4 linked regions of the Caenorhabditis elegans genome follow. The protein of the gene in region 4 purifies or fractionates together with the protein of the main gene of each other region. This does not show direct contact. Each region holds a gene or a part of one and is shown on either strand. Other genes may lie near its edges.

The links.
Region 1: the proteins of rsl-24D1 (region 4) and rpl-23A.2 fractionate together in Caenorhabditis elegans (co-fractionation; one large-scale study listed by BioGRID). This does not show direct contact.
Region 2: the proteins of rsl-24D1 (region 4) and znf-622 fractionate together in Caenorhabditis elegans (co-fractionation; one large-scale study listed by BioGRID). This does not show direct contact.
Region 3: the proteins of rsl-24D1 (region 4) and T25G3.3 fractionate together in Caenorhabditis elegans (co-fractionation; one large-scale study listed by BioGRID). This does not show direct contact.

The regions. Positions count from the first base shown.
Region 1 is NC_003279.8:8,326,749-8,333,863, reverse strand, and holds rpl-23A.2 (Large ribosomal subunit protein uL23B), read left to right. Parts: upstream 1-4,216; 5' UTR 4,217-4,218; coding exon 4,219-4,364; intron 4,365-4,411; coding exon 4,412-4,604; intron 4,605-4,648; coding exon 4,649-4,750; 3' UTR 4,751-4,802; downstream 4,803-7,115. Other genes in the region: mys-4 (Histone acetyltransferase), read right to left, coding at 161-255, 311-435, 482-569, 626-666; C34B7.1 (UPAR/Ly6 domain-containing protein), read right to left, coding at 1,162-1,330, 1,383-1,503, 1,550-1,627, 1,670-1,873, 1,916-1,999, 2,051-2,263, 2,636-2,956, 3,118-3,250; Transcription factor cep-1, read right to left, coding at 5,157-5,361, 5,410-5,531, 5,597-5,833, 6,188-6,401, 6,914-7,055.
Region 2 is NC_003281.10:6,377,943-6,385,677, forward strand, and holds znf-622 (C2H2-type domain-containing protein), read left to right. Parts: upstream 1-3,691; 5' UTR 3,692-3,703; coding exon 3,704-3,886; intron 3,887-3,942; coding exon 3,943-4,756; intron 4,757-4,828; coding exon 4,829-4,959; 3' UTR 4,960-5,054; downstream 5,055-7,735. Other genes in the region: nfx-1 (Transcriptional repressor NF-X1 homolog), read left to right, coding at 1-259, 310-660, 717-1,067; C16A3.6 (Protein MAK16 homolog), read left to right, coding at 1,520-1,908, 1,961-2,083, 2,133-2,592; C16A3.5 (NADH dehydrogenase [ubiquinone] 1 beta subcomplex subunit 9), read left to right, coding at 2,849-2,899, 3,011-3,451; let-716 (rRNA biogenesis protein RRP5), read left to right, coding at 5,610-5,729, 5,774-6,925, 6,969-7,735.
Region 3 is NC_003279.8:7,555,148-7,563,805, forward strand, and holds T25G3.3 (60S ribosomal export protein NMD3), read left to right. Parts: upstream 1-4,691; 5' UTR 4,692-4,696; coding exon 4,697-4,838; intron 4,839-4,883; coding exon 4,884-5,011; intron 5,012-5,061; coding exon 5,062-5,457; intron 5,458-5,909; coding exon 5,910-6,124; intron 6,125-6,170; coding exon 6,171-6,418; intron 6,419-6,507; coding exon 6,508-6,596; intron 6,597-6,644; coding exon 6,645-6,815; intron 6,816-6,864; coding exon 6,865-7,017; 3' UTR 7,018-7,202; downstream 7,203-8,658. Other genes in the region: Chitin synthase chs-1, read left to right, coding at 10-151, 196-797, 842-933, 982-1,329, 1,378-2,849, 2,896-3,278, 3,324-3,726, 3,780-4,034 and 1 more.
Region 4 is NC_003279.8:9,665,794-9,672,774, forward strand, and holds rsl-24D1 (putative ribosome biogenesis protein RLP24), read left to right. Parts: upstream 1-3,621; 5' UTR 3,622-3,627; coding exon 3,628-3,708; intron 3,709-3,763; coding exon 3,764-3,990; intron 3,991-4,036; coding exon 4,037-4,217; 3' UTR 4,218-4,305; downstream 4,306-6,981. Other genes in the region: cel-1 (mRNA guanylyltransferase), read left to right, coding at 1-81, 280-505, 552-679, 727-854, 905-1,049, 1,094-1,159, 1,205-1,441, 1,492-1,577 and 3 more; C03D6.1 (Piwi domain-containing protein), read right to left, coding at 2,920-3,022, 3,071-3,381, 4,455-4,655, 4,704-4,815, 4,861-4,922.

The sequences.
Region 1 (7,115 bases), 1.3 Mb from region 4:
CTTTAAGGGAAGTGAGTACTTTCAAATGTTGATTATTCTGAACTTTCAGAAGATTATCGGAAAGGCTGATTTTTGAATTCTTTGCCGGAAATCTATGGTTTCGAATTCCGATTTTTTGAGATATTTTTGTTTTTTTATTTTAAAAAACATATGGTCATACATTTTGCTTTGCATTCTGAACATTCCTTCAACGGTTCATCGTCTGCTTTTTGATCTTCTTTGCAGAATGAACATACTGGCAGTGCTACCTCGCCGCTGGAAAATTACATTTCAAAAATACCTTTACCAATTTTTGATATAGAAATCTCACTGTTTCAAAGTTCTTCGCCTCCGCGTATTATCTTCTTCGGCGGTTTCAGTTGAATCTAATCGATTTTTTTTCGATAGAGGTTCACTGCTAGACGGCGTGTCATCTGTGGAAGGTTTTCGAAGATTCTGATTGAATATAATTGTTAGAGTAATGTGAAAAATAGTAACTAACTTTTCTTTTTGAACTTGAAGAGCTGGGAGTCTGTTGGTCATCGAGCAGTTGCGTTTTCATGGGAGACATCGCTTTTCCTTCCGGGGAGCTGAAAATTAATGCATTTTTAACAAGAAATTTAATTATTCTTTGAATTTCACAAACCTGTTAGCTTTTGATGTGGGTTTCGTAGAATTTTTCCCCATTTTACGGTTAAAAATCAGGTAAAAAATATTAAAAAAAAAACACTGAAAAATGCGACAAAAAATTTCTCAAGCAAAAGTTTACAGTCGAGCGCACTTGCAGACATCAGCACAGTGCTATTTCGTGGACAGAGAAACATGAGAAGAAACAAGGTAAACTTGAAAGTAAAAGTTGCACTGATCAAAAAACTGAAAATCTAAAAACAAATGTTTTGGACTATTGATTTTTTTATTATTTATAAATTATCTGCTTTAACATTAGCCGGATTTCGGAAGAGAGACTCCAAGAATTCCGGGAAGTTGAGACTTGGAGAAACAGATTTCTCAACTTTTGTACTGGAATTGCATTCATTGGTTTAGTTAATGATGTGAAATTGTGAAAATTTCTAGTTTTCTTCTAAAACTCAACGAATTGATAATTGATGGAGATGTTTATTAATGAAAAGAACGTAGAATTGTACAGATACAAGGAGAAATATAAGATCACATGATTTTATGTTACACAGCAAGAACCAACAAAAGCAGAGTTATTAATATTTCAGCGTTGCAAACTTTTGATGAAACCGAATTTTGTGGAGCAGGAGTTGGAAGTGGTATGTCAGAGCATGCCGTGTTGCAAAATGATGTGTTGCATGCTTTTATAGCTGTTTGAATGGAACCAGCCATTCTGAAAATGTGGAATTAAATTTTAGATTTTGAAATTTAGAAAGTGTACTTACTTATACTGACAATGATTAATATTTGTATACGCAGAATTATCTGGAAAACTCAGAATCGACGTTGTTGCACACGATTTTTTCACTGTTGATTTCGTAGGATCAAGCTGATTTTTGGATCGTACTGAAGTATAAACCATAGTAAAGTTAAATTATGTCAATGATCTTACCAAATGTGCAAAATCGTCCTTGACACGTCCCACCAGAGCAATCATCTGAATTGACGGCACTACATTCAGTGCAGGTTACTGTAACTCGTGTTATTACGGTGGTCTCACCTACGCGTCTACCTGCTGACGTGTCTTGTGTACATTGTGAATTGCATAGATTTCCAGTATTACACACCTTGACATTATATTCAACATCATTTATAACTCTAAAGTTACAGACGTTAGGCACACCGGTGTAGGTACCATCTGGGTATTGAGCATATGCAAGTGCAGAGCAAGATTTACGATAATATGTTTTAGTTGTTCCAACTCGAAGTTGACGCTCTTAAATTGTATAGGTTAAGCTGGAAAATGATATAATCTTACCGAAAATGCAGAAGTTTCCTTCACATGAACCCGTAAAACAATCAGAATCTGAAGATTCACAGTCATAGCATCTCACCAGTGGTTCTGAAAGGTTTCAATTTGACTACTGATCTTTTATAATTTCTAAGTTCTTACGTCTTTGTGGAATAGGCGGGGTTTGACCAGGATTGCAATAATTGTTACAAAGATTCACATCATTGCAAATTTTCACAAAATATCTACTATTTACAGTATTCCTAACTTCACACAATCCAACGCTTGCAACTGTTGTCTCATCATCTAGTTGAATAGTTGGCTCAATTAGACATGATTTTCGAAGATACATTTGATTATTGAATAGGCGACGCTCTACAAATTCTTATTTTATGGCGTTTTTTGAAATAAAATTGCTACTGCACTCCAACGCCAAATAAATAAGTTCAGCCTCGTTAGGCATTGGCGGGAAGTTCGAAAATTCGAATGTTTTCCATAATCTTTGTCAGCTTCCACTCGTTTTCAAGCATTTTTAATTGATTTTACTGCAATAAACTTAACATAAAACCGAAAAACTGCTTGAAATCGGGCGAAGACCTCGAAAATAAGTGAAATTTTTGAATCTACTATTTTTGCCGCCGATACCTAGCGAGACCCAACTTAGGGGGCGGGATCTTCTCATTTGGCATTGGAGCATGATTGCACTGAGCGCATTTTTTACACGTCTCCATATTAAAAAAAACATACCGTAAAGACAGTATGCGCCTTCACAAGTATTCGTCTGACAATCAGTTCCATCATTTGTTGAGCATTCATAACATGTGACAGATCCCAAGAGAGGTGTTGGATTTACTGGTGGAAGTGTTGGTTGTGTTTGTGTCTTACAGTCATTATTACACATATCCTGTGTTGTGCACAATGCCACGTAGTATTGACCCTGACGTGTTGTACGAGTCACACATTGATTCAGGTTAGACATTGTGACTCCGTCATCGAATTGATAAGCTTTTCCCTTTGTGTAACAAGTACGAAGGACATGTGTTATTCCATTAGCAGCATTTAGTTGTTCTTGAAAATATTTTGGGTTTTTCAGAAGTGAATGGTCTCTCAAAAATATCGAAATTTTATAAATTTTATAATTAATTTTGGAAAATAAAATTATTGGAATTATTTTTTTTTCTAAATTATGTTACTGCATTTACATTTATTTAATGAATTTTGATTAATACCGTATAAGCAAACGTCAGATTCACAATCCGGTGCATTTACACATGCTTGACCATTATAACTGTAACAACTTCGACATCGAATCGCCTCCGAAAAAAGAAATGCGAAATTTAGTAAAAATAAAAAACGGAGCATCTTCAGGAAAGAATAGGAATAGTTTCGTTTCGAGACTGTGAAGTGGCGCTTGTGAGAAGATTAAAAAACGCTTGGAGGTTACAAATGTTTGCCCAAATATCTACTCATCATTCGCGCATGATACAGCTCTGGAACAAGGAGTGGCTGTGTTATTTGGTGAAAAGATTATCTTCGGATGACTCCGCTTTTGGCAATGTGTGCGAACTTGACGTGCACTTAAACTCTAACAAGTTGAAATTTATCATAAATATTTGCAGATATATTTATTTTTTGTGATTCCAGTTTATATCTAGTTTAGCAGCTTTCTTGGGTGTTGAAATTGTGTAACAACTTTTGAAATAAAAAACAAATTAATATATTAAACTTTATTCATTAAAATTTGTTTTTGTCACTTGTTTCATTGAAATTTAATTTAAAAATGATTCGTTTTTAATTTTAATTAAAAACGATTTTAAAGGCACATGGAATTTGAAGGAGCGTAGCGCATTGCTACCAAGTGGGTCCCGCCACGATTACGACAACCGTAGTCTGCTTATGCAAATTTAGTTTCAATTCCTAAACTTTTTTCGCTTCTTTTCGCGATTTTCGTCGTTTCCAACGGTTTTCCGTTCGTTTTTAATAAATTTTTTACGTATAAAATTAAGTTTTCGTTGAATCCTTCTGAAAACTCTTTAAATTTGTAATCCCCATTGAAATTCAGATCAAAATGTTAAATTTTCGGTTCATTTTTGAAGGAAATGTATCCCCACTAAAATTTTAGCGTTGTTCTTCCTTTTTCAATCCTGAACAATATTTGCGTCAATCATTGCCCACTGACGCTATTCTTTACTCCGTGTCTGCACCCTCCTACGAAATTTGTACTTTCTCATTTTCCTTCGAAATTTGCTTATTTTTTGGCCTAAATTTGTTGTTTTCTCATCGATCTTGCTCATTTTTCAGTTTTTCTTTCATTATTAAATCTTGCAGACATGGCTCCGTCATCAAACAAAGTGGGAAAGGCTATCCAAGCCAAGAAAGCTGTCGTCAAGGGAAGCAAGACTAACGTTCGCAAGAACGTTCGTACATCAGTCCACTTCAGACGCCCAAAGACCCTTGTGACTGCCAGAGCTCCAAGGTAAGACGATTCTAATAAAAATCGATTATTAATACAGATTTTTATAGATATGCCCGCAAGTCTGCTCCAGCCAGAGACAAGCTCGATAGCTTCGCTGTCATCAAGGCTCCACACACCACCGAGAGCTCCATGAAGAAGATCGAAGACCACAACACCCTTGTCTTCATTGTTGACGAGAAGGCCAACAAGCATCACATCAAGAGAGCCGTCCATGCCCTTTACAACGTCAAGGCTGTTAAGGTATGTTCCTAATTATCAGTTCACGTAATATTTCAAATTTACAGGTCAACACCCTGATTACTCCACTCCAACAGAAGAAAGCTTACGTTCGATTGGCTTCGGACTACGATGCTCTTGATGTTGCCAACAAGATCGGATTCATCTAAATCTATTTGTTGTTCATTGTTCGTTACCGTTATGATGAAGATATTCATTAAACGTAGTTGAGCTTTGTGGGAAGCAATCGATTCGATTGCAACGTGCAGATTTGATTCAAAAAGGAAGCAGATTTTATTGTAGTATCAAATACCTCTTCAAGTCTCGGTGACATTCTCATTCTGAGTCGATTTATGTTCGTCGACAGACTCGTTTTGTCTCCGTAAACATCATTCGTAGCCGGACTGTCTAAAATTAGTTTTGAATTGATAAAACGAACAAACTTTATTACGAAAAAATGCGATTATAAAAAGGAACAAATGTCAGTTTGAGTATCTAGTGAGAAATGCGGTGCTTTGAAAAGGATGAATATTGTGAAAACAAATTAGGCGATTAAACCAGGTGGTGATATGATTTTTACTTTGGCAGTTTCATCGCTTCCTGGATGCGGTAAAAGCTGAGAAACGCTTCGTAGTATTTCGACAATTTCGAAGAATCGATACCAATTCTTTCGAAGATGTCATTATGTTTCTCGAATTCTCTAATCATATCCCCCATTGTATAAATTCCGTTTGCATTGAACAACACTGAATCGTGCCCTGCTTTTATAGCGGTGAGGAATCTTCAAAAAAAAGAAATTACGGCAATCTTTATAAATCTTTATAAATACCTTTCAAGTCCTTCAGTTGGCAATATATGGGAGACTACTTGCGTCGGAACCCAAGTGTATCTGGGAACTTTTGCTTCGCGTGCCAGAAATTCGACGACTTTTGTATACTCAGCAGTCGACAGCTGAAATTTATTGTGAATCAAAATTAATTATAATATTGCTTTAAGAGTGAGCTAAAAATACTTACAGTGAGCGTTCTAAACGAATAATTGGTACAGCGACTTCTCTTCATCGACGGAGATTGACAGTTTTCGTGTTCAGTTTCAATCGGAGGAACGCATCCATGAAGACGACTTGCATAACCTGTTACTGGTGGAGTTCTGTGCATCATTGTATAATCATTATTTGGAGAATCACACTCATTCAAAAATCTCTTCCGATTATTACTGTTTGATGGAGATGAATATGAAGTTGATGGTTCCATCTGTAAATTTAAAATCTTATTTCATATTGCGTTGAGAAAATAATTGAATGTCTTGGGAATTAGAGCATATATATTTAAAAAATTAGATCGAAATAAAACATTTCAAAGCTTTGTGGTCGAGCAAACATTACGCATAAAGGAAGTCATTGGGAGATAAGATATCGAATTTCAATTCAGTTTTTGTTCATTCGACGGAAACAAGAAGAAAACGTTTTTCTATAGAAAATTGAAAAGAATCATGATAAATATGGTATATTCTTCTGGCAGAAAATTGATATTTCTACAAGGCATGATTTTGGAAATTGAAGTTATTTACTATTTTCCAAATTCTTTTAAATCATATTCTAGACAAACCTGTGCAGTAGTATTGGTCACGTTGAACATGTTCTCTAGATTGACCTCTTGTTTGATATTTATCGATTCTAGGCTCGCCTTCTTGTAGGCAGGTAACTCGGGAAATCTGAAATCCTTTTGTTTTGCGTCTTCTCGCTCACAGAAATTCTTCCAGTCACGTCGTGGATAGGCAACAATTCGAACTTGTTTGATGTATGCGTGGAGAATTTCGTTTCTGAAATGGTTTTTATTTAGTATATTAAAATGTTTAAAGAGAGATTTTCACTATTAATTTTACTCGATTATAAAGAGCTTTTTCAAAAGAACCAATTCAAAGAGTGAAAACAAATGTTCAAAAAAAAAGATCAACAATTCACAAATGTATTTGATTATGAATAAAGATCAAGCAATAAGTGTTATTAAAAAATTAGCAAAAAATTGATTTGAAACGCGGTAAACATTGCCGCGTTTTTAAATGACTCCAGACTGGCCTAGAATTTTTACATTTCTCTTACACGACCCCCTATCTGGAAATAGTAAGAACAGTAGATGTCGTTTTTAAACTATTTTGGAATAAATATTTTAAATTATTTTGATTATTTGAAAGTAATCTTTGACTTTTTGTTAAGTAGAAAAGAAACACTGTTTCAAGTGAATAGAGGAAGGCATATTTCTTCAACAGTAGGACAGTAGTAGAAAGCTTTTTCAGTATTCTTTTTTCAAATTTGAAATTATGTCTGAATTTACCCATTTTCATCGTCCAAAAAGACCGCAAGGCACATCGTTTTTCGTCGATCATCCAAATCAAGGCACTTCTCTTGACACATGAAGATTATATCAAAATTCGCCTGAACTGCGCCTGGATACATTATCAATGTAAATGTACTTCCTGAAAATTATTTATTATGCAATAATTTTGAACATGTTGATTCAACTAGAATAGTGTTAA
Region 2 (7,735 bases), on a different chromosome or scaffold from region 4:
GGTCAAAGAAGGAATTCTCAAGCGCTCAACAAGTTTTTCTCAACTTAACTGCATGAAATGTGATGACGAATGCAAGAAATTGGAAAGAAATCGAAAAGTTGCTGAAGCTCTTGAAGTTGATACAGATGAATATGGAATGAACAAACTCGCTCCAACTATTTCCTTCCCTTGTTATCTGAAAGAGATGGTTAGAACCAACATTGATTTCGTCAAATCTGTTGAAAAGATTCTCATTGATCTGGTTATTCAAATTCTAAGTGTAAGCTACCATTTGTTTAAAATTGTGGGCATACATATAGTTTTTTACAGGGTGAAGCCTACCACGACACTTTTCGAGCTCACCTGCCAGCAATGAGTATTGAGAAGAGAAGATTCGTGCATGAATACGCCAACTTTTTCAATATCGCCTCAGAAAGTGTAGACAGTCCACCAAAAAGAAGTATCGTTCTCACAGCAGTACGAGGAAAATCTCATCAGCCTCTCGTTCTCATTAGTGATCTTGTAAACTACAAAGGAGCTCTAAAGACGCCAGGACCTGCTGTTATTAGAAAAGATATAATGGATCAAGCTTTGAGTAAAAAAGAAGAAACAGAAGGTCTCATGAAACCATTAAGATGTACGGAAAAAATGGTAGTTCGGAGAGAAGCTCGTCCAATGAAGGTAAATATATAATTTTTGTCTGGCATTGTTCAGATTTCAATATTTTTATTTTCCAGGAAATAACTGCCCCAATCCCATTGAAACAACAAAACCAATTTGCTCTTTTGGGGAGCGATGTCGATTCGGACGATGAAGAAAGTAACGTTCCGACAACAAGTAATTTAGTATCTTCACCTCCAAAAGATTGGTGGAAAGACGAGGAAGAAGGGTGGCAAAAAGTGCAACAAAAAGAGTATGTTGTTGAAGTCGAACGCGATATGACCGAAGATGAGATTGAGGCGGCGAAAAAACTGGATGAAGGTCCCACATGGGAAGATCAATGTGACGAAGATGCACCAGCAACAGAAACCAGTTCAGCTATTGAATCTCCAGCGAAAGAGGAGCCGGTTGCTGAATTACTAGAATAAAACGTATTAGATTTTTTACATGCACTATCACATCAATTTTCGATGTTACTATTCATATCCTCAATTGTACGGTGTAACAGTTTGTTTCAAGTACATTTCCATTGTTTTGAATACTTTAAAATACGGTTTGCTTGTTTTAACTAATGAATAAATATTCTCTGGTGTTTATATTATTTTAATTGCGTTCCTGTGGCCCAGTTATTTCCTGTGAAAATATTTGTTTGAGACTTTAAATTTTAATTGAAAGATGAAAATAGAGAGAAGGCGCCTTAAGGCACGCGGGACTGACAAAGTGTGCAAACACCGCCACGCGAAGACGCACACTTTCGGTTCTTTCACAATTTTTTTGCCCGTTCTTCTCAATCAATTCTTGCTTCTTTTTCCTTTTATCGAAGTAATTCTCGTGTGAAAAACAACTCAAAAAATTCGAATTTTTCAGAAACTGGGTAAAAATGCAGTGCGACGATGTGACTTGGAACATTCTCAACAAGGGACAATGCGCCTACAAAGCGTGGACAAAGCCAAAAATGTTCTGTAAAAATGAAATGAATTTGACTGGTTTGTGCAACAGAGCTTCGTGTCCATTGGCTAACTCACAGTATGCAACAGTTCGTGAGGAGAACGGAGTATGTTACTTGTACGCAAAAGTTGTCGAACGATCTCACTATCCACGTCGTTTATGGGAAAAGACAAAGTTGTCAAAGGATATGAACAAAGCATTGGAACAAATCAGTGATCAACTTCTTCATTGGAGTGAATATGTTAGACACAAGTGCAAAGCTCGTCTCATCCGAATTCATCAATATTTGATCAGAATGCGTAAAATGGCAGTCCGTGGAAAGTAAGTTTAAACTTATAGAAACTGAATTTTGCATAGTATTATTTATTTTCAGCCAGAAGAAACTCATTCCAATTGGACGGAAAGTGGAAAGACGTGAGAAACGTCGTGAAGAGAAGGCACTTGTTGCAGCTAAACTTGATCACGCTATTGAGAAAGAGCTCTTAGCCAGACTTAAGTGAGTTGATATATTAGAAAGTGCACATTTTGAATGAAACAACTTTTAGACAAGGAACATATGGCGATGTTTACAACTTCCGTCAAGAGGCATTCGAACAAATGCTGGAAAACACTGAAAAAGAGTTGGAAGTGGAGCAAGAACTCGAGCAGGACGACGCAGACACGGGTGAGACTCAGTTCGTCGCTGACTTTGATAGTTCCGACGATGAGGATCAGGACATGGAAGACGGAGGTGATGGACATTGGTCACCAGGAGATACTGACAGTGAGAACGAGGATAATTGGCAGCCAGAACAAGAACAAGAGGATTCGGATGAAGATGATGAGGAAGGAGGTGATGAGCCAATGGAAATTGAGGAGCCACCAAAGAAGAAGGTAAAGAAGGAGCCGAAGAAAAAGACTGGGAAGAAAGCTGCTGATGGAAAGAAGAAGAAGCTCAAGAAACGAGCTCATGTTGAGATTGAATACGAAGAAGAAACGGAGCCACGACAAAGGGTCAAGGCATAAAACTTCGCATTCCATTTTGTCTGTTATCGTTATTTTTGTTCTTTTCTTTTATTCGCCCTCTTCCAATTGTGTTGTTGTTATTTGCTTTTTAATTTTTAACTCTTTTACCCAAAAATTCAAATGAAAATTGTTACTTTTCCTTGTTTACTAAAAATTAAACTGATTGGTTTTTTTTCCAATTTTATTTTATTGTTCCAATCACATATTTTTGTACTCTATAAAACCCATTGTTTTCAGAGAAGACCGGGAGGAAGCCATGGATTCGCCGGCGTGGATGTTCACGAAGGCGCTGAGCCATAGACAGAAGGTAATTTTTATTTTTGAAAAGCTTTAGTCGTTTGTGAAATTGGTAGCGTTGTTTTTTAATCTGATTGGAGATTTCGTCTGTTTAAAATGTAGCGAATTATTGCATTTTCAGGTCACCCGCCTCTACAAACGCTGTCTTCGCGAAGTTGACAACTGGTATGGAGGAAACAATCTGGAAGTTCGCTTCCAAAAGTGTATTATCCGTGCTCGATTCGACGCTAACGCTGATGAGGTTGACACCCGTAAGAGCCAGATCCTTCTTGCCGACGGATGCCGTCAATTGTGGGAGAAACGTCATTTCAAGCCTTTCCGTTTTGCTCTCGATCCAGGAGGTTCCAGTTATGATCGTGAACGCGAGTCGCCGGATGAGATTGTCGATTCGGATCAATGGACATTGGCTGAACGTGAACAGTTCCCCTACTACTTCAATACTCGTGAGCAGAGAAAGAAGGAGTTGCTGACTCACTGGGCCAAAATCGAAAAAGCTTGGGATGAGGAGATCGCGTCAATTCAAACCCAACTACCAGCTGCTGCCCCAACTGTTTCCAAATAGGCCACTATGAGGAAGTAATGCGATTGATTTTAAGTAGAACGAGCTCACTCGTAGACCGAATAATTTTGTTTTGTTTTTTATGAATTTAACGTCACTGAACAAATAAATATAGCTGTATTTTCATTGTATATTATCATTTATTATTCATCTGTTTAAATGGTTATTGCTGACCATTTGCATATTTTTTCCAATTTATTTAAATTTCTTCTTGTAAGCTTTAAATTAAACATTTTATTACAGAGATCTATCAGAATGGATGGATCTACAGGGTTCACATGTGTAACATGCCGTGTCGTCTTCGAGACAGCCGAGCTGCAGAGAGATCATTACAAAACCGAATGGCATCGGTACAATCTGAAAAGACAAGCTGCTGAGCTTCCAGCTATAGGAATTGAGCTTTTCAATGAGAAAGCTGCATCGTTCAACCCAACAAAGGTAGGGGAAAAGTTTTCTAATGTTCGCTTAATACTTACTCATTATCAATTTTTCAGCCAGTCGTTGCTGCTTCAGTTGAACCATTGTACTGCAAGGCTTGTCGGAAATCAATCAAATCGGAGAATGCAATGACTGATCACGTAGCTAGCAAAAAGCACAAGGAAAATGAGAAGAAGATTGAGGATGATGTGAAGAAAGGTCCAAAGCAACCAAGAAAGAAGCCAGAGAATTTGCCAAAGAAACCTGAGTCACTAAAGGAACCTGAAAATGATGAAGATGATGACTCGAGTGGATGGGAAACTGACGATGAGGAGGAAGGTGTGGAGGAACTAAATGAGGATGATGCTCTTCCAGTCACATCTTGTCTGTTTTGTCCACAGACAAAGCCTAATATGGATGAAATGCGTACTCATATGAACTTCCATCATGGATTCCAACTTCCAGACAGGCAATACTTGAGCGATGAACTTGGATGCTTAAGCTACTTGGGACTTAAAGTTGGAGCTGGTCGTTGCTGTATCTTCTGCCCAGACGTTAAAGCCAGATACGAATCAGTTCAGAGTTGTCAGCAGCACATGCGAGATAAGCAGCACTGCAAACTCCGCAGAGATCCTGAAAGCATGATTGAGCTCGACGACTACTATGATTACAGTCCGATGTATGATGGAGATGATCAAGATAAGTCAGAACTGTTTGATGATGGATGGTCGCTTACTCTCCCTTCTGGAGCTAAAATTGGACACCGTAACCTTCATCGATATTTCAAACAATACCTTCGCCCAGTTGATGGTACACAGAGACTTGTTTCAAGAGCAGCACTCGATAAAGCAAAGGGATTCTATCCAGCTCTCGCTTGGACTGGAACTACGAGTAAGTTTTATTAGAATTCTATGACATCAAATAGTAGAAATAAAAAGAAATGTAACAAAAATAATATTTCAGCTGTCGCGGCCAAGAAGGTTGCTCGAGACATGAAGTTCGTTGAGCGTTTCCGTCGTCGTTTCGATCTGCGTGTGGCAGTCAAGTCGAACAAGTTGTTCAAGACAAACGGATTCGTCGGAGACAATCATTGACCACTTCATTCCAATTTTTCTGTTCCTGTTTGCTAACCTTGTTGTTTTTGCCGTTACCCCCGTTATGTTGACATTTTTCAATGAATATCCATCTGAAATAATTCGCTTCGATATACCAAAGAGGGATTTGGTAATGATCTGGTTTTCAAATTCAACACAATTCTAATTAGATCAAGTGTTTTGACCAAAATTTTCTTCAAAGGGAGGACCAAGTTATTACGAGCGCAGGTCTCACAACGAACACATTTACTACGGTAATCTTCAACTTTATTCATCATACAACGAAATCTTCCCTATTTAGAATTTAGCTTTTTCTTGGCGTATTCTGAACATTTTTTGCTAAATACGTCGCTTTTGTTAAGCAATTAAAAAATAGAACTATACATTTTCGCTCTCGCCTTCTAAATATTTATTTTTCGAAAACATTTCTTCTTCTTTTGATTGGCTACGGTATGCGAGTCCGCAATAGTCCGTCGCGGTGATTGCACACTTTTATCTTCCGAGAATTTTTTTACAATTTTATTTTCCATTTTCTCATTAATTTTTCCCCGAAAAAAAAAAAGAAAATGCCATGTTTTTGTTTTCAAAAAATTGTCGATATTTTATTTACTCGTAATATCTCTTCCGGGGTGATGAATATTTTGTTTCAGATGGTTAAACTAGATGAGGTAACAAACGAAAAGTGCTTCCCGCGTGGTGGTGGTTCGGACAAGCCAAAACCATTGAACAAATCCAACTCGGACTTTGTAGGAACGAAAGGAGGGCTAAAGGTTTGTTATTATCTCTCTTTTCATTCTAAGTATTCAAGTTTTAGAGAAAGTCCGCAGCCCCAGAACAACACGAGGCCAAGAAAGCTAAAGAAGAATCTAGCTGGATTCCGAAGGTTGAGGAGAACTGCTTCATTGAAGGACTCACAGGTTTTGGGGTAGTTTCTGAGGTTTTCGATGATGGAGTTCTTCTGCATACCGCTGGTACACATACCGTCAAGATTCATGCTTCAGAAGTCTCGAAGAAGTTTACGGAACTTTTCAACGAGGAAAAAATTGAGATTAAGAATGCATTTCAACTCGGCCAGATGGTTCCATTTCGTGTGATTAGTAAGAAGCAAGGTAACGACAAAGGGAAGGTGAAAGGAACTTGCAACCCAGCTCGGCTCAACAAACATCTCTCTCCAAATATGTTGGCTGCCGGTCTCGTTCTTCATACCGCCGTCGTCAGTATTGAGGAGAAGGGTGCTATTCTGGATGTTGGACTTGATCAAATAACAGGATTCATCGAGAAATCGCAATTTCCAGCAGCAGGATTGAAAGAAGGAATGCCACTTATTGTTCGAGTTCTATCTTCCACGTCAAGAGTAGTAAAAGTAACTTCCTTTGTGGAGCAGGACAATTTGAATATGACGTCTTGTGAGAAGCTCCAACTGAACCATTTGATGCCTGGAACAATTCTCGAATGTGAGCCAACAGGAGACGCAGTTACTGCTGGAGTCATTGTAAACATTGGAAATGGCCTGAAAGGAATTCTCCCTCGCCGAAATTTGCCTCCGCGCCTTCGTGAGAATCCGGAGAAGCTCGGGAAAGCCATTAGAGCAATTGTGATGTTCTGTCAACAAAATTCAAAAATCCTTGTACTCAATGCACACCCAGATATTGTTGCTGCCAGTCGTATCGAAAAAAGAACATCGTTTGAAGGAATTTCAATTGGAGACAAAGTCAAGTGCACTGTAATTGATGTACTCCCAACCAAAAGTATGGTGTACTTTGCTCTCCCTGCTATCGATGGAAAAAAGTCATTGGTCACTGCGGTGTCATCTCGAGGACTTTTGGAAAAACCAGATCAAGTTTCTACTGAGTATGAAGTTGGAACGGAAAAGCTGTGTCGAGTCACAGGATTTCGATATGCAGACCGATCGATCACCATTTCAACGAGAAAAGATATTTTGAATCAAAAAATTACAAAATATCAGGTAATTAAAAGTAAAATTAAATATTCCATTTTTATATTTTCAGGATGCAAAGTGTGGAGATGTACTTGATGCTCGTGTTCATCACGTGGCAAAAAGTGGAGTTTACTTCATGGTGTGTAATTTTGTAAAAGCATTTGCTCCTTTGAGCATGCTTTCGGATAAGCCACTTCCTGCGCAAAAAATGAAGAACATCTATAAAGTTGGAACTGAAGTAAAATGTCGTGTATGGCAGATTTGCGACGAGAGAAAAAATTTAATCGTCACATGTCGAGAGTCTATTCTTGGATTGAAAAGTCCGTCCGTCAACAGTGTTCAAGAGTTGGAGATTGGAGTTACTGTTCCATGCGTTATCAGAAAGGTTTTCCCAACGGGAGTTCTTCTTCTCGGAACATTCAATAACATTTGTGGAGTTCTTAGAAAGGAATCCGCCGTTCATTTGCCAGGAACACCGAAGAACAACGATTTTGTAGTTGCTAATGTGGAGAAGATCGAGGACAACCGAGTTGTATTTGTGCTTCGTGACGTTAACCCGAGTGCTGCTGTTGCAAATGGACAAAATTCCGAGAAGAAACTGGTTCAGAGACCGAACCCAGCTGATGGAGGTATATCAATTGGAAAGATCTACAAAGGATCATTGTGTGCCAAGGCAGGAGAGAAAGCAAATGTCACTTTCACCGGTGAAGGAAAGAAAGAAGTTTATGCTTCTGTAGATGATCATCTTCTATCCGATCTTCTTGATGCTCCAATTGGACTAACAAAGAGATTGTTGATTGAGAATAAGGAAGATATTTCAACTATTGTGCCAATGGG
Region 3 (8,658 bases), 2.1 Mb from region 4:
TATTTTCAGCTACTTCTTTTCGCACTTTGTAATATAGTATTAACACTTGGATCAGTTTTTTCGAAACTCATCGTATTGATCATGGCTACTAACATCGTCCCTCGAGCTCATCTCATTGGGAAATTCGCCAGGAAATGCACGAAAGCCGCCGGTAAGATTCATTTCCTCAAAACGTCGTAATTATTTTTTTTTCAGTTCGACGTACATCTACAACAACTGCGGGAATATATCTGTCGCTACTATTGATTCAGTGTTTCCCTGATACTATCAATCTGATACGTTCTGGCATAGATATGTGGAAAGGACAATGTGGTCAACTCGTCAAGTCAGTGGTTGTTCTGGAATCTCTTCGAGCAATCGGACTCGCCGTTCTGAGCTTCCACGTTTTCCCTCAATTGGATCTCGCCAGATGCCTTGTTCTCAGCGCATGCTTCCCACTTGTGGCTGTGTTGCAAAGATCTTTGGTAGCAATGGTTTCTGCTGCTAGAACAGGAAGATCATTCCGAAATCGTCTCGGCCGATGCTTCGTTGCAATTCCACATGTCATTATGTTCTTGGTTCTCATGAGTAGCTGTTATGTTTGGGCGCTATTTGATAACAAGTTCACAGCTATAATTGCACTTCCGATTGGAGTAATTTGCACTTCAGCTGGCTTTTGGGAATCTTGGATTGACACAACGCATTCTGGTACTTCATTTGATGAGTTATACAGGCTCAAATATGCTGTACGGAAGATGAACACCACCACGAAACTTATTGTTTCCCTCATGCGCATCGTTTGTACAGTTTCAGTTCTGGTGAGCATAATTGATTTTTTCTGGAAGAAAAATTGTACTTACAGGTATCTGCTGTCTATATTAACGATCACAAGAAGCTTAATTCATCTCATTTTGTCAAGGCATTCTTTAGTTTCAGTACACGGCAACCCCACACGTGAGGATATCAAAAACTGAAGCATTTATACTAATTCCCTAATTACAGGAGGCTTCTTCTACTAGCCACCGGAATCATTGTTCTCCATTTTGTCATGCGAGGGATTTCACGCTTCTTGGCTGCTCTTGATCTGCATCCGTTCTCTTTCGTGCACCCACTCTCCATTGCTCCTCTCATCGCTTATGGATACGTCCGTTATGCTTGCCAATCACCCACATGTTCAATAGCTCGACGATTGGCTAGATTTGGTCTTCATTGGGTGTGTGATCAATGGTTCCAAAGCGCACGAGGAATCGCATCTCCGGACTTTTACATTTGCCTTATTTGGTTGTTGGTAGGATGCTATAGAGGATGGAGATTGGTTAGACAACGATACTTTGATACGAACGAAGAAATGTAAGTTGAGGCAATTTTGTTTTCATATTTCAATAATTATGTTTCTAGCATCTCTTCAATGCCTCCTGTCTGTAATGGCCTCTGCATCGAGCAATCTCTTGTGGTATTCCAACATTCACTGAATCGGCAAGAAAAAACTATGCTTACCGAAGAAGAAGACATATCGGATGAGAATGATGAGCTACGAATTCGAAACGATGAAGTTGACAGAGTGTCTACGGTTTATGGATGTGCAACCATGTGGCATGAAACAGAAACCGAGATGCGACAAGTACTTCGTAGTATTCTGAAGCTTGATGTGGATCATGCGACACGTATGAACAACAAGAAAGCTAATGAACTTCGATACCGATTGGAAGGTCACATTTTCTTCGATGACGCATGGGAAGATGTCGAAGAAGATGGAATAGAGAAAAGGCAGCCAAATGAATACTTCAACATGTTCTTTGACTTGCTCAATGAAATGACTGGTGAAAGATTAAATGAAGAAGGAAAGATGGAAACAAGAATTCTCGTCAATACACCTTACGGTGGTCGTCTTGTTGTAAAACTTCCATCAGGAACTTTACTCTTCGTACATTTGAAGGATAAAAAGATGATTCGACACAAAAAGCGATGGAGCCAAGTTATGTACATGTATTACCTTCTTGGTCATCGTATCATGGATTGCCCACTTTCTATTGAAGATAGACAACAGATGGCTGACAACACGTTTATTCTGGCTATTGATGGAGATTCTAAGTTCGAACCTGACGCACTTCTTCGTCTTCTCCACTTGATGAATGCGAAAAGTGATATTGGATGTGCTTGTGGAAGAATTCACCCAATTGGAAATGGTATAATGGTTTGGTATCAGAAGTTTGAGTACGCTATTGCTCATTGGTTTCAAAAGGCTGCTGAACATGTTTTCGGTTGTGTCCTTTGTGCGCCTGGATGTTTCTCATTGTTCCGTGCATCTGCATTGATGGATGACAATATCATGCACAAGTATACTAAGACCGCTTCCGAACCACGTCACTACGTCCAATATGATCAAGGAGAAGACAGATGGTTAAGTACATTGCTTTTGAAACAAGGATATCGTATCGAATACGCCGCTGCGTCTGATGCTGAAACATACGCTCCGGAAGGATTCGAAGAATTTTTCAATCAACGTAGACGCTGGACTCCTTCGTCGATTGCTAATACAGTAGATCTTCTGATGGATTACAAGAGAGCTTCAGAAAATAATGACGCCATTTCATATGCCTACATCGCCTATCAATTCCTTGTGATCTTCTTCTCAATGCTCGGACCTGCCATTATATTCACTATGCTCGTATTCGCCCAAGTTGCTGCTTTTGAACTTCGAGGATCTGATGTGATGCTCTATAATGGAATTCCGATAGGATTTTTCATTGTTCTTTGTTTCACAACAGAGTCGAATATTCAACTTATCTATGCCAAGTACATGTCGATTGCGTACGCGTTCGTAATGTTGGCTGTGTTAGTCGCTACCAGCAGTCAAATTGTTCTCGAGAGTGCGTTTTTACATTATCCCTTCATCCTGATTACGACAATTTTCAGCTGTTCTCGCTCCTACATCTCTCTTCATTGTCACAATGGTCGGAATCTTCTTCTTTGCTGCATGTCTTCATCCAAAAGAATTCACGAATATTATCCATGGTGTCGTATTCTTCCTCATGATTCCATCTACATATGTGTTCCTCACTTTATATTCGCTCATCAATCTCAACGTTATCACGTGGGGAACTCGTGAAGCTGTCGCTAAGGCAACGGGACAAAAGACGAAAAAAGCGCCTATGGAACAATTTATAGACAGAGTGATTGATATTGTGAAAAAGGGATTCAGATTAATCAGTTGTCGGGAGAAGAAGGAACATGAAGAGAGACGAGAGAAAATGGAAAAGAAAATGCAGAGAATGGAGCTAGCCTTGAGAAGTATTGAGGTTATCTTTAACTTTAGAAATGTGAAATTAATAATTTATTTTCAGAGTGGTGCCGACGTGAAGAAAATTCTCGATGCAACAGAGGAGAAGGAGAAACGTGAAGAAGAAACTCAAACTGCAGATTTTCCGATTGAAGAGAACGTAGAGAAGACTCAAAAAGAGATTCAGAAGGCAAACCGTTATGTGTGGATGACAAGTCATAGCTTGAAAGTTTGTGAACGAGGAAAACTGAAAAGTGCGGAAAAGGTTTTCTGGAACGAGCTCATCAATGCATATCTGAAACCGATCAAGACGACGCCAGCTGAAATGAAAGCCGTCGCCGAAGGATTGGCTTCTCTACGAAATCAGATTGCTTTCACTATTCTTCTCGTTAATTCTCTTCTTGCTCTTGCCATCTTTTTGATTCAGAAACACAAAAATGTGCTCAGCATCAAGTTCTCGCCAATCAGTAAGCAATATTACCTTTATGGTCAATTCAAAAAATTTGTTTTTTTTTTCTAGAAAACTTCCGATGGACGAAAATGAATGAGATGACTGGACAATACGAGGAAACCGATGAACCATTAAAAATAGATCCACTTGGAATGGGAATTGTTGTTTTCCTTCTAATTATTCTTTTTGTTCAAACTCTCGGAATGCTTCTCCATCGACTTAACACTATGATAGGAGCTTTCCAAGAAGTGAAAAATTTGTACGAATACGGAGTTTCACCAGTGATAAATACAAAGAATGATGATGAGAGGATTATGAATAATGGTATTTTCTTTTTAAAACTAAGTTTAAAGACGAAACAACTCAAAATTATTGATGAATAATTGTCATTAAATGATTTTAAATTTTCGCAAAAACTAAAGATATAATTTTCAGCTCGTCTAATGATTAATTCTCTCGGTGTCAGTACTGGACACGCTGCCGACGGCTATACAAGGCATCGCGGAGAGGAATCCGATACCGGCAATGTTCTCTACAAACTTCAAAAGGCTCGTCTCGCAAAGCGAATGCAAAGAAGTGCACTTTCCACAACTGAATAGTGCTAAAATTGATTTTTATTTTTTATTTATTGCATACCAATTAGTATTATTATTATTGCATGCTCTTACCTCATCTCTCGCCTTTATTAACTTCTGTTGAATGAATTTGTAACTAAAATAAAGAAGAGGAAACTTTTCACCCTCTTTTTAAATGAGAAACTTTAAGGGATTATATTGTTCCTGCTTGGATATTTTATTTGAATTATCCGCTCAAATGTCTTACTTGAAAAGTTCGGGCGAGCACGTTTGCAGGGTCATTCTTCTTTCGCAATTTTTCTCCATTCTTCCTAAAAAAATGTTTTGATATCCTCAATATTCGTAGTTTTGAAGAATTTGCAAGCAGATCGCTTTGATTTTGCAGTAATTATATATTTTTTTTCAGTCAAAATGCAATCCCTGGACATAAAACCGACAGTTGGTCTAATCGCTTGCTGCGAATGCGGTGTTGCGATTGAACCAAATCCAGCGAATATGTGCAGTGGATGCCTTCGCTCGAGGGTAGATATTACCGAGGGAATCACTCGGCAATGTGAGTTTTCTAAAATTGTTGAAATAATAATTTTTCAAATTTCAGGCACAATTTACATGTGCAAATTTTGTGATCGTTACTTTGTTCCACCAAGTGCATGGATGAGAGCAGAACTGGAATCCAAAGAACTTCTTTCGATTTGCTTGAAAAAGTTGAAGCCAATGCTAACGAAAGTAAATCATTCACGGAATCACTTCAGTTTTCAATAAAATCCAAAATTTAGGTTCGTCTGACCGATGCGTGCTTTGTATGGACAGAAGCTCACTCCAAGCGTATCAAAGTGAAAATCACAATTCAAAAGGAAGTATTCACTAATACAATCCTACAACAAGCTGTCGTCGTTGAGTTTACCGTTCACAGTCAATTGTGCGATGATTGTCGTCGTGCTGAAGCCAAAGATTTCTGGCGTGCTTGTGTGCAAGTTCGTCAACGTGCAGAGTTCAAGAAGACTCTTTTCTATTTGGAACAACTTCTCCTCAAACACTCCGCTCACAAAGAATGTACTGGAGTCAAGCCTGTTCCGACTGGAATTGATTTTTACTTTGCGAAACAACAAGAAGCGAGAAAATTTGTCGACTTTTTGATGACTGTACTTCCATGCAAATATCACTACGCGCAGGTTTGTGAAAGTCGATGATGCTGAAATAATTGACATCAGTTTGCCTACAAATCAGGGGTGCATAGCAATTGCCGACCGGCATTTTTACGAAATGAGCCAGAGGGGCATGCTCTCCCAATATTTTTCAGTAAAATGTAAAAAAAATGTTTTGATTTATCTGAAAATAACTTTTTATTAACAACTGAAAGTGCTCAAAAAATTACTGAACGTTGAAAACTACCCGAATTGTTTTTTTTGTTGATAATTTATCTGATTTTTTCCGGCAAAGCAATTATTTTTTATGTATTTTACCATTACATTTTGATGAAACATATTAGAAAAACATGTCAAACTGTATCATTTTGTAGAATTGCCGCGCACCCCTTTTTCAAATTATTCTCTGAATTCTTACGAGTCAGTTCGCAAAACACCATATTATATTCACCATCAGTTATGACATTTTCTTATTTCAGGAACTTGTCTCTCACGATACCAAAAACAACACATACGATTACAAACACACTTTCTGCGTTGAAATCGTACCAATCTGCAGAGACAATATCGTTTGTCTCCCAAAGAAACAGGCTCAACAATACGGAAATATGTCACAAATCGTTCTTTGTCTTCGTGTCTCGAATGTCATCACTCTCATCGACCCCAACAATTTGCAGTTGGTTGATGTTCAAGCGTAAGTACAAATATCTAGAAAAGAAATGAAAATTGGCATATTACAGAACTAATTTCTGGAGAGAGCCTTTCGATTCTCTTTGCGGACCAAAACAATTGACAGAATTCTACGTTCTCGATGTGGAACCTGTAAATAACTTTGAGAGAAAGGCAGGCCACGGATATGTGAGTAAGAAACACGAATTGGCAGATGTATGGTTGGTGAGAAGTGATCAAGTTGGAATGTCTGATGCTCAATCTCTATCAGCTAGAACTCACATTGGACACTTGTTATCACCTGGAGACTTGGTTATGGGTTAGTTTCAATTATTGTGTATAACTTTATTTACTTACTTCTAAAGTTTCTGATTAGAATTTTTTTGGAAAAACATTTTTAAAATTCAGCATTCGACATGAAGAACTGCAATGTGAATAATGCAACTTTCGATGCCATGAACATTGATAATGTTCCGGATGCAATTATTGTCAGAAAGGTATTTTTACAGTTTTTGGAGGAATACTCAATATTTTATGAATTTCAGGTATTCGATAGAACTCGTCGTACAGCCAAACGTCAATGGAAGTTGAAGAGATTGGTTGTTGATGGTAATATTGTTGGAAATGAGACGGCATCAGTTGCTGATGAATTCCAAGGATTTATGGAGGATATCGAAGAAGATGCACTGATGAGAGAGAAGATTAATATTTATAAAGTGAGAGAAAATTAGAATGATATAATGTTGTAAACCAAATAAATTGCAGGACGCAGAGAAAGGACCAAATGTTGATGGAGACGACGCAGAAGATCATCCAGATGCTCCAACTCTTGCCGAAATGCTTGATGATTTGAAATTCGATGACGAGGAGATGAAAGAGGCTGAAAGTGCAGAAGATGATGAAGCTATGCAAGAGTAATCTTCGCTCTATCTCAAAATTTCGTTTTTCTCCATATTGTTGTCTTCTATATTTTTGTTTGCAATCTGATCATTGTTCCAACCTATTCCTACTACTCGCTTGTTGTTCTGTTATCACATTTTGTTTATTAAAAATACCCCGTTTTTTGTTCGTTCTCCTTATTTTTTGATAAATCTGTTTTCAAGAAAAGCTACGCCTACAATACTTTGCTGTTTTAATCACTTAAAAACTATTACTGCATCATTTCTTATCAACATTCTTGCCCTTTACTCACCTTATCATTTTTAAGTGCATTTTCAGGTCTAGATTGTGCTTTTTCTCATTATTCTTGAGATTTTCCTATTTGAATTCATTCTCAGAAATAAGTCTGTATGCCGCCGTCAAGGGCGTCGTCGAAAAATTTTACGTTTTTCTGGAAAATCGTAAAAGTTTTTTTAGGATATTGACAAAAAATTCAACATTTTGTTTATGGTGTCATCGAAAACTTCTCGATTTTTCAGAGATAATTGAAAAATTGAAAAACGAAAATTTTAGATATTTTTAAGAATCGGGAAGAAGGTTTAGAAAATTAACAAAAATCCAATTCTTCTTAAATTTCAGTTTATTTTGATGAAAAAACAGAAGAAAACATATAATTTTGTTTTACTTGAACAAGAATCAACATTTCGAGACATTTTTTTCGAAAAATTGGGAAACGGGAATTTTTAGATTTTTCCTTTTTTTGTAAAAAATCTAAAACGACATTCTTGATGCTGCTGAAAAAAGTTATCTTCTAAAAAAATTTAAGTTTTTTTCGTAATATAGAAAACAAAAAGCCTTTTTAAAATCACCCGGAAATTTCGAAAGTTAGGATATTAAAAAAAAACATCTACCTCCACGCTTTCCAAAAAAAGTTTGTTCGGTTCAAAAATTGTGTTATGTTCATTCTAATTCTCTTTTGGCACACAATCTCTCAGACATAAAAGTACCGTCCATTCAATTCGCGCATTTCTTTTCCTTCTCTTCCACTCTCACTTTCTGACTCTTCCCATTTCTAGTCTCACAATCCTTCGAAATATACACGAGTATTTCACATGTTCCTTGCCTCTCCGTCTCTTCTCCTCAAATCGATGCATTTTTCTCTGCACTCTCCACTGTTTTCACACGTTTTCATTTCATCTCTCATCCTTCACAACACCATGTTTTATTTTCTCGTCGGCCGGAGTTTTTTGTCAAAAAATGAGGGAGGAAGGAGGAAGAGAACTGAGACCCAGTTTAATACTAGGCATATCCTTGGGCTCCGTGAGCCGCGTCACTTCTTGAAAACAATTTATTTTAAGATTCAATAGTTTCTAGGTTCGACATGATTTTGTGATTCCTAATGCTTTTAATATTAAATCACAAATGACTGTAACGGTAATGCAATTTTTCAAATTTATGCCAAAATTTTCAGATTTTTTGACAAGTTGACACAGATTCATTCAGATGGGTCTCGGCGCGCAAAAAAGTTTATGGTGGTGCTTCGAAAAAAATCACAATACGACTACCATAAACTTTTTTGCGCTCCACACCCACATGAGTAAATCCGAGCGCCTTTAAAAAAGCATGCCAAAATCTTGTGAAATTACTCCCCTATCCAACAGCAAAAGTTCCCCAATTTGA
Region 4 (6,981 bases):
GATCGTGTTGTCGGAGTGCATTGCACTCACGGATTCAATCGAACAGGATTTTTAATCGCTGCATACCTATTTCAAGTAGAGGTATTTACTGTTTAGTTCATCATGACAATCCAACTGTTTAATTTTCGAGAAGCTAAAAATTTATGTACTCATTTATTGGAATCAACGCATGATATTTTGTTGAGAAGTGTCTAATTAAATACGTTTCTTTTTGAATCAGAAAAAGCTCAGAGAATAAAAAGTTGATTATCTTTTTTAAACTGACAGGATATTTTTAAGGAATATGGTCTCGATGCTGCAATCGGAGAGTTTGCTGAAAATCGACAGAAGGGAATTTACAAGCAAGACTACATCGATGATTTATTTGCAAGATATGATCCCACAGAAGATGACAAAATTCTGGCTCCCGAGAAGCCAGACTGGGAACGAGAAATGTCTATTGGCATGAGTACACAAATTGACAACGGACGACCATCGACAAGCCAACAAATTCCCGCAACGAACGGTTTGTCTTCAATTTCAAGCCTTAACGTTTAAATAATTTTATTCAGGAAATAATAATCAAAATGGAAATCAATTGAGCGGAGGAGGAGATAATTCGAAATTGTTCATGGACGGATTAATTCGAGGAGTTAAAGTGTGTGAAGATGAAGGGAAGAAGAGCATGCTTCAAGCCAAGGTATATCATTTTCTCACAATTCTTTAGCTGTATAGTTTTTTCTTTAGATTAAAAATCTCTGCAAATACAACAAACAAGGATTTCCGGGTCTCCAACCCGTATCTTTGAGCCGTGGAAACATAAACTTACTCGAACAGGAATCATATATGGTATCATGGAAAGCTGATGGCATGAGGTTAGTGAATATTCTTTAAAATTTCATTTAAAGATTTTTTAAAATTTTAGGTACATCATTTATATCAACGATGGAGATGTCTATGCGTTTGATCGTGATAACGAGGTTTTTGAGATTGAAAATCTTGATTTCGTGACAAAAAATGGTGCACCATTGATGGAAACCCTTGTGGATACTGAAGTCATCATTGATAAGGTATGAAAACTCATAATTTATGAATGAATTATTTGTTTTCTCAGGTTGAAATCAATGGAGCCATGTGTGATCAGCCTCGAATGTTAATCTATGATATTATGCGATTCAATGTAAGTTGATTTCAATCGGAAAGAAAATGTATTATTCGTTTCCAGAGCGTTAATGTGATGAAAGAGCCATTTTATAAACGATTTGAAATCATCAAAACTGAAATTATCGACATGAGAACTGCTGCATTCAAAACTGGACGCCTGAAGCACGAGAACCAGATTATGTCTGTCAGAAGAAAAGATTTTTATGATCTTGAAGCAACTGCTAAATTATTTGGACCGAAATTTGTGCAGCATGTCGGACACGAAATTGATGGTCTCATTTTCCAGCCGAAGAAAACTGTGAGAATTAAAATTAAATTTTGAACGTGTTTGAGAATGATATTTTACAGAAGTATGAAACTGGAAGATGTGATAAAGTTCTGAAGTGGAAACCACCATCTCACAACTCTGTTGATTTTCTACTGAAAGTTGAAAAGTAAGTTTCTAAAGAGGAAATTGAAGGGTATCAAGAGAATAATCGAATTGCAGGAAATGTAAAGAAGGAATGCTTCCCGAATGGATTGGATATTTATTTGTCCAGAATCTTTCCGATCCATTTGGCACAATGAAAGCAACGGCAACTCTCAAAAAGTATCATAATAAAATTATCGAATGTACACTGCTGGTTGATAATCAAGGACGGGTAAACATTATTTTTTGATGCAAATCTATGTTGAAATTAATATTAGTTTTTAATTTGGTTACTTTTTTTCAGCCAAAAGAGTGGAAATTTATGCGAGAAAGAACAGATAAATCGTTGCCGAATGGATTACGAACTGCGGAAAATGTCGTTGAAACTATGGTGAATCCTGTCACTGAAACCTATTTAATTGAGTGAGTTAATTTATAAAAAAATAAATAAACGGAGTATCATAATTAAAATTTTTTGATCTTCGGCACGTTTTCAAAATTTTCAGTCAAAGTTTTTGGAAAAACTGGATCTTTTTGGGAATTTCTGGTTTTTTTAATGCAGGGCAGTTTCTAAAGGTTAAATCAAGGCTGAATCCGGAAAAAAACTTTTTTACGGAAGTTACGTTAATTTGTTGTTTTTAAAAAAGATACTTCAATCATATATTCACTGTGGAAAAAATTGTATAATTTTACAATTAATTAGTTTTTTTAGTTAGCAAAAGATTAAACAAACATCGAAAATATTTAGAAACAAACATTTTCGAAAATTTCATCAAATTTTGTTAATATTGATGAAACGAAACATAAAGAAGCATACACCTAATTGTATTATATTCGAACTTTTTGCATAAAAAAATTAATTATTTTGAAATAGTTTTACTAAGATATTTAGTAAGTATAACAAATGTTTTAAACAATATTCGCATTGATCGTACTAAATCTATAAGACTTAACATATATTTTGCTTCCTCAGGTATGTAAATCACGCTCTCCGAGTTTTGAAAAGAGCTGCAGCAGCTCATCGCCATCATCAAATACACCAACAACAACTCCATGAGGGAGAACCGGAAGCAAGAAGACAAAAACTCTGATAATCATTCTCCTACATTTGACATCTTTTTTTTTTTTTAATTTTTCACATGTTGCCTTTCTTAAACTCTCCTAGATGCTCTTTCATTTTACCAACAACACTACGGTTTTCAAAAATAACTCAGAAATTATCATTGGCTGTCTTTGTACTTTTAAAAACAAATTCTTTTTTCGTGTTCTAAACAATTGTTTTTTCATTAAAAATTTTTTATTCAATTTTTCATAATTTCATGATTAAGAGAATTCAAAGATTGTATTGTAGGAAATGGAATTAGATATCAAACTTCTGGGTCAATGTGAAGTTGGAGCGAGATTGTATCAAAATCATATTGAGAAGAGTTAGCAATTCGAGGTAGAGCATTGTTGTGTGCTTCTCTGAAACTGAAAATCAAAAATTAAAAGATTTATCAAGAAATCGAATATTCTTACGCTGCGTAACTGGGAAAAAATTTAGTCCACAGTCCAGCTTTGTTTTCAGCATTCCAAAGAGGTTCAAGAAGAGAAAATCGATGATTACGAACTCTAATTGTTATAAACATGTTAACAATTAAGTTTTGAAATTCTTCGTTTGATTGGAAAATTCCGTCATCTTGAAACAAATAAACGAGTGGTTCCGTATTTTCTGGTCGCCATGGAGCCAATCCAAATGCAAATCGAGGATTCCATTCTGGAAGATTTGATGCAGTCTCTATATATGTTGATATTTCTTCTTTGAAAGCTGTGAACTCTTGATGTTCTACCTGAAAACTTACGATTTCTTCTTTGGTACATGATTTCCAATTTGAATCACCGCGCTTTTATCACCGACGCAAAGTGCGCAAGCAACACTCGCTGGCGCCTTTCTCTCCCTTTGCGCATAAGGCGATCGCTTTTTTATTTTTTCGCAATTCTTGATTCTAAACTAATTTTGTTACTTTTCAATGTTCTCACTGTCCAATTTCACCGTATTTTGCGTTAATAAATTATTTTATCAATTTTAGGTAACAATGCGCATTGAAAAATGCTACTTTTGCTCGTCTCCCATCTACCCGGGACACGGAATCCAGTTTGTCAGAAACGATAGCACAGTAAGAACTATTTAAAATAAAATTAGTTTACGAACTGTTCAATCAATCTGTTTAGGTGTTCAAATTCTGCCGATCCAGATGTAACAAATTGTTCAAGAAGAAGAAGAACCCAAGAAAGCTTCGTTTCACCAAGGCTGCGCGTCGTGCTCGCGGAAAGGAGCTTATCAACGACGCCACACAGCTTCTCGAACAGCGCAGAGATGAGCCTGTCAAGTATGAAAGAGCCATGTTCCAAAAGACCATTGAAGCTGCCAAAACGATTTCCGCATTGAAAACAAAAAGGTAAATAAAAATAAATTTATATCAAAAAGCAACTATTATTTTTCAGATATGGTAACCTGATCAGAAAACGTCTGCAACCAGGAAAGATTGTACAGAAGAAGGGACTCCTTGCGAAGGTCGACAAGAAAATGCATCTCATCCGTGCTCCAGTTGCAAACAGAGATGGTGTCAAGACAAGGGCGGCAGCAAAAGAAAAGAAAACCGCAGAATCGATGGAGACCAATTGAGTACCCAATTTTCTTTCTTTTTTTAAACTTTTTGTTATTTGTTACTTGTTGTTCTACTCCCGCTTTTGTGAATACACTTGGATTTACGATTTTTTGGAATTTCTTGTTATATTCACTACTGGACAGGAAAAAGCGTTTCAACGAAATACTAGGTGGTGGTAAGATTATTGGTCAAGGCCGCAGTTGTGTTCAAATTGAAAGATGCAACGTTCAAAGTTATTTTAATAGGAAACGTACCGTTGATTGTAGATCATCGCGAACTTGATCTCGGAGCACAATAATAAAATCAGGGAGCACTTCACGATGGGATCTGAAGTCTTCAATTATCCACCGAGTGACTCGTCGAATCAGCGCAGGATCAACATGCGGAATGGTGGCCTTTTGGAAATGAAAGTACTCGGTAAAATGATCAGGACACGAGGTTCCGTTGAATGTGAACTGGAATTACATCGAATAGCAAAGAGTTGAGCACAAAAATGTAATTACCACAACTGTACTGGGATTATTGTAGACCCCAGGTGTACTTGGATCCACAGTTCCATGATTTATAGCATATCCTATAAAAAGCGTATTTGTCTCTGGCCCCCGCAAGCTTCTCCTGAAATTAAATTAAGAAATAGGTATTTATGAGCTAAAATCTCACATATACTGGTGAGCATTATTTCTTATATCTGGAGCCACATGTCGCCTTCTTCTTAATGCCATCATTATTCGGACTGAAAATTTTGGAATTTCAGAAATCACCCAACAAAGAAAGTTTATAAGACAAGGTACACGGAGAAACAGAAGGAGAGATAAAAATTGAATAGCCTAGAGGTTTCAATGACATAGACATATATACACATACACACTGATCAGAACATTCTTCTTCTTTTTATTCGTTGTAGAGGAAGTTTTGACGTCGACGGATGGATGAGGACGACCGCGTGGGGGCTGTTTATATCACTATTTGTGTATGGAAGAAGCTGATATGATATGGTAGTAATATTTTTGCATCTTGAAGATTGTTCTTCCGATATTTTGGCGGAAAGTCCTATTATCATAGTTCTGATGGTTTTTTGAAACATCCGCCTGAAGGCGCATGGATTTATTCAGATAGGTCTCGTCGCGAGAAAAATGTTTACTGTAGGTTTCCTTTTATTCGACTTCCCTATTGCATTTTTTTGTTCTCAAGCACATTGAAATTCTTAACAAAAATCGAGAAAAATCGTTAAAACAGCTAGAAATTTGTTTTGAAAAAAATCTTAATAGAAAGGAAAATAATATCAAAATCGGTGTGTCTTTAAGAAACCTTGTTTCAGAAAATTACAATGTAATTTTTTAAATCAAAATCTGCTTTCAGTTTCCCATTTCATCTTTTTCTCTCTCTGGACATGATTATTCACAGAATGTTTTTATTTGCAAACTCTCGCCGCGCTTTTTTAGGTTTACTGTAGATGAATTAAGTTTTATTTTTTATTGGTTTATTGTAATTTTTGGTCACGAGTTGAATTCGGAAAACACCCAACATTGTAAGTGAAGTTTCCAGTAATTATCGTTTTTGAAAAACTATAAAACACAGAAAAAGAAGCCGGAAGTTTCTATAGGTATACAGTAAACATAAAGACGCATACACAGATCGTTTTCGTAAAATTCCCGACGAGACCTCATTCGAATAAATCCGCCTTCCTTAAAACTTATAGAAGTTCGTGTATTTAATTCCACGTTTCTTCAATGATACTGTACCGCGAAAAGGGTGAGATTTTTCATGTAGACACTCTAAAGTGATAAGAAAAATCAAAGAAGGGAGTCTAAATGCGTGGACAATCATTAAAGATTCTATCTTTTCGGGGGCTGCTGATCGAGAAAAGAAGTCTACGAGAAAAAACTGTTTGGCAGTCATTTAACAAATTCTCTCATTAATTTAAATATGTATATCAATTCAGTGATAAAACAACGTATTGCGACAAACTATAAATGTAATAGGGGGAAAAGTCACGTGGTGTCGTTTTGATATGATATGATGTGATATGGATAGCGAAATAGAAAATGAAAATGATGAAGGGACAGGGGTGAAAAGTCAGAGGAATTCCGTGGAAGGAAAGGGGAAGAACAATTCTTTATCAGTTTTTGGGAATCATTGTGTCAGGTCGAATTGGGGGACGGTTTCATTGTTTTCTTTTTGATAGTCTGCTCTTTGACCTGAGAGAGAAACCGCATGTCAACCAAATTTTGCAAAAGTCTTAGAAAATGAGTACGGTAGATTGTTTGAATGGTTTTTCATACTCGGTAGGCTCTTCAATATCGTGAGCAATGAACGTTGAGTTGAAAAAATTATGTATGATCCCTAAATGTCACCTATTTTTGGACATGAAGTATCGGCCAAGAAATAATCTTTATAGGTTTTCTAATTGAGCATAACTCAAAAACTAGTTAGTTTTGCAAAAGAAGTTTGTCAGCGAATCTTCTGTAATACATTAATTATTTTTCGAGTTAAAATTATTTGAAAATTTTGAAAATGACCAAAAAAAATCCAGGAACGCTTTCTAATTTTGGTAGGTACTGTATATGTAACCCTATCAGAAAATGTAGACAAAGAAACTTTACGGATAGCCTAACATTTTAGTCTGTAGCCTAACACCTTACACCAACGGGTTACTGTAGTTGTATGGTAGAAAAACAGAAATAATAATAATAATAATTTATTACGCTCGCTGGGAGACGTGAAGGAATACAGAATACAAAAGTTATCATTGTTCGCTTGAACTAGAATTGGTGCAGTCTG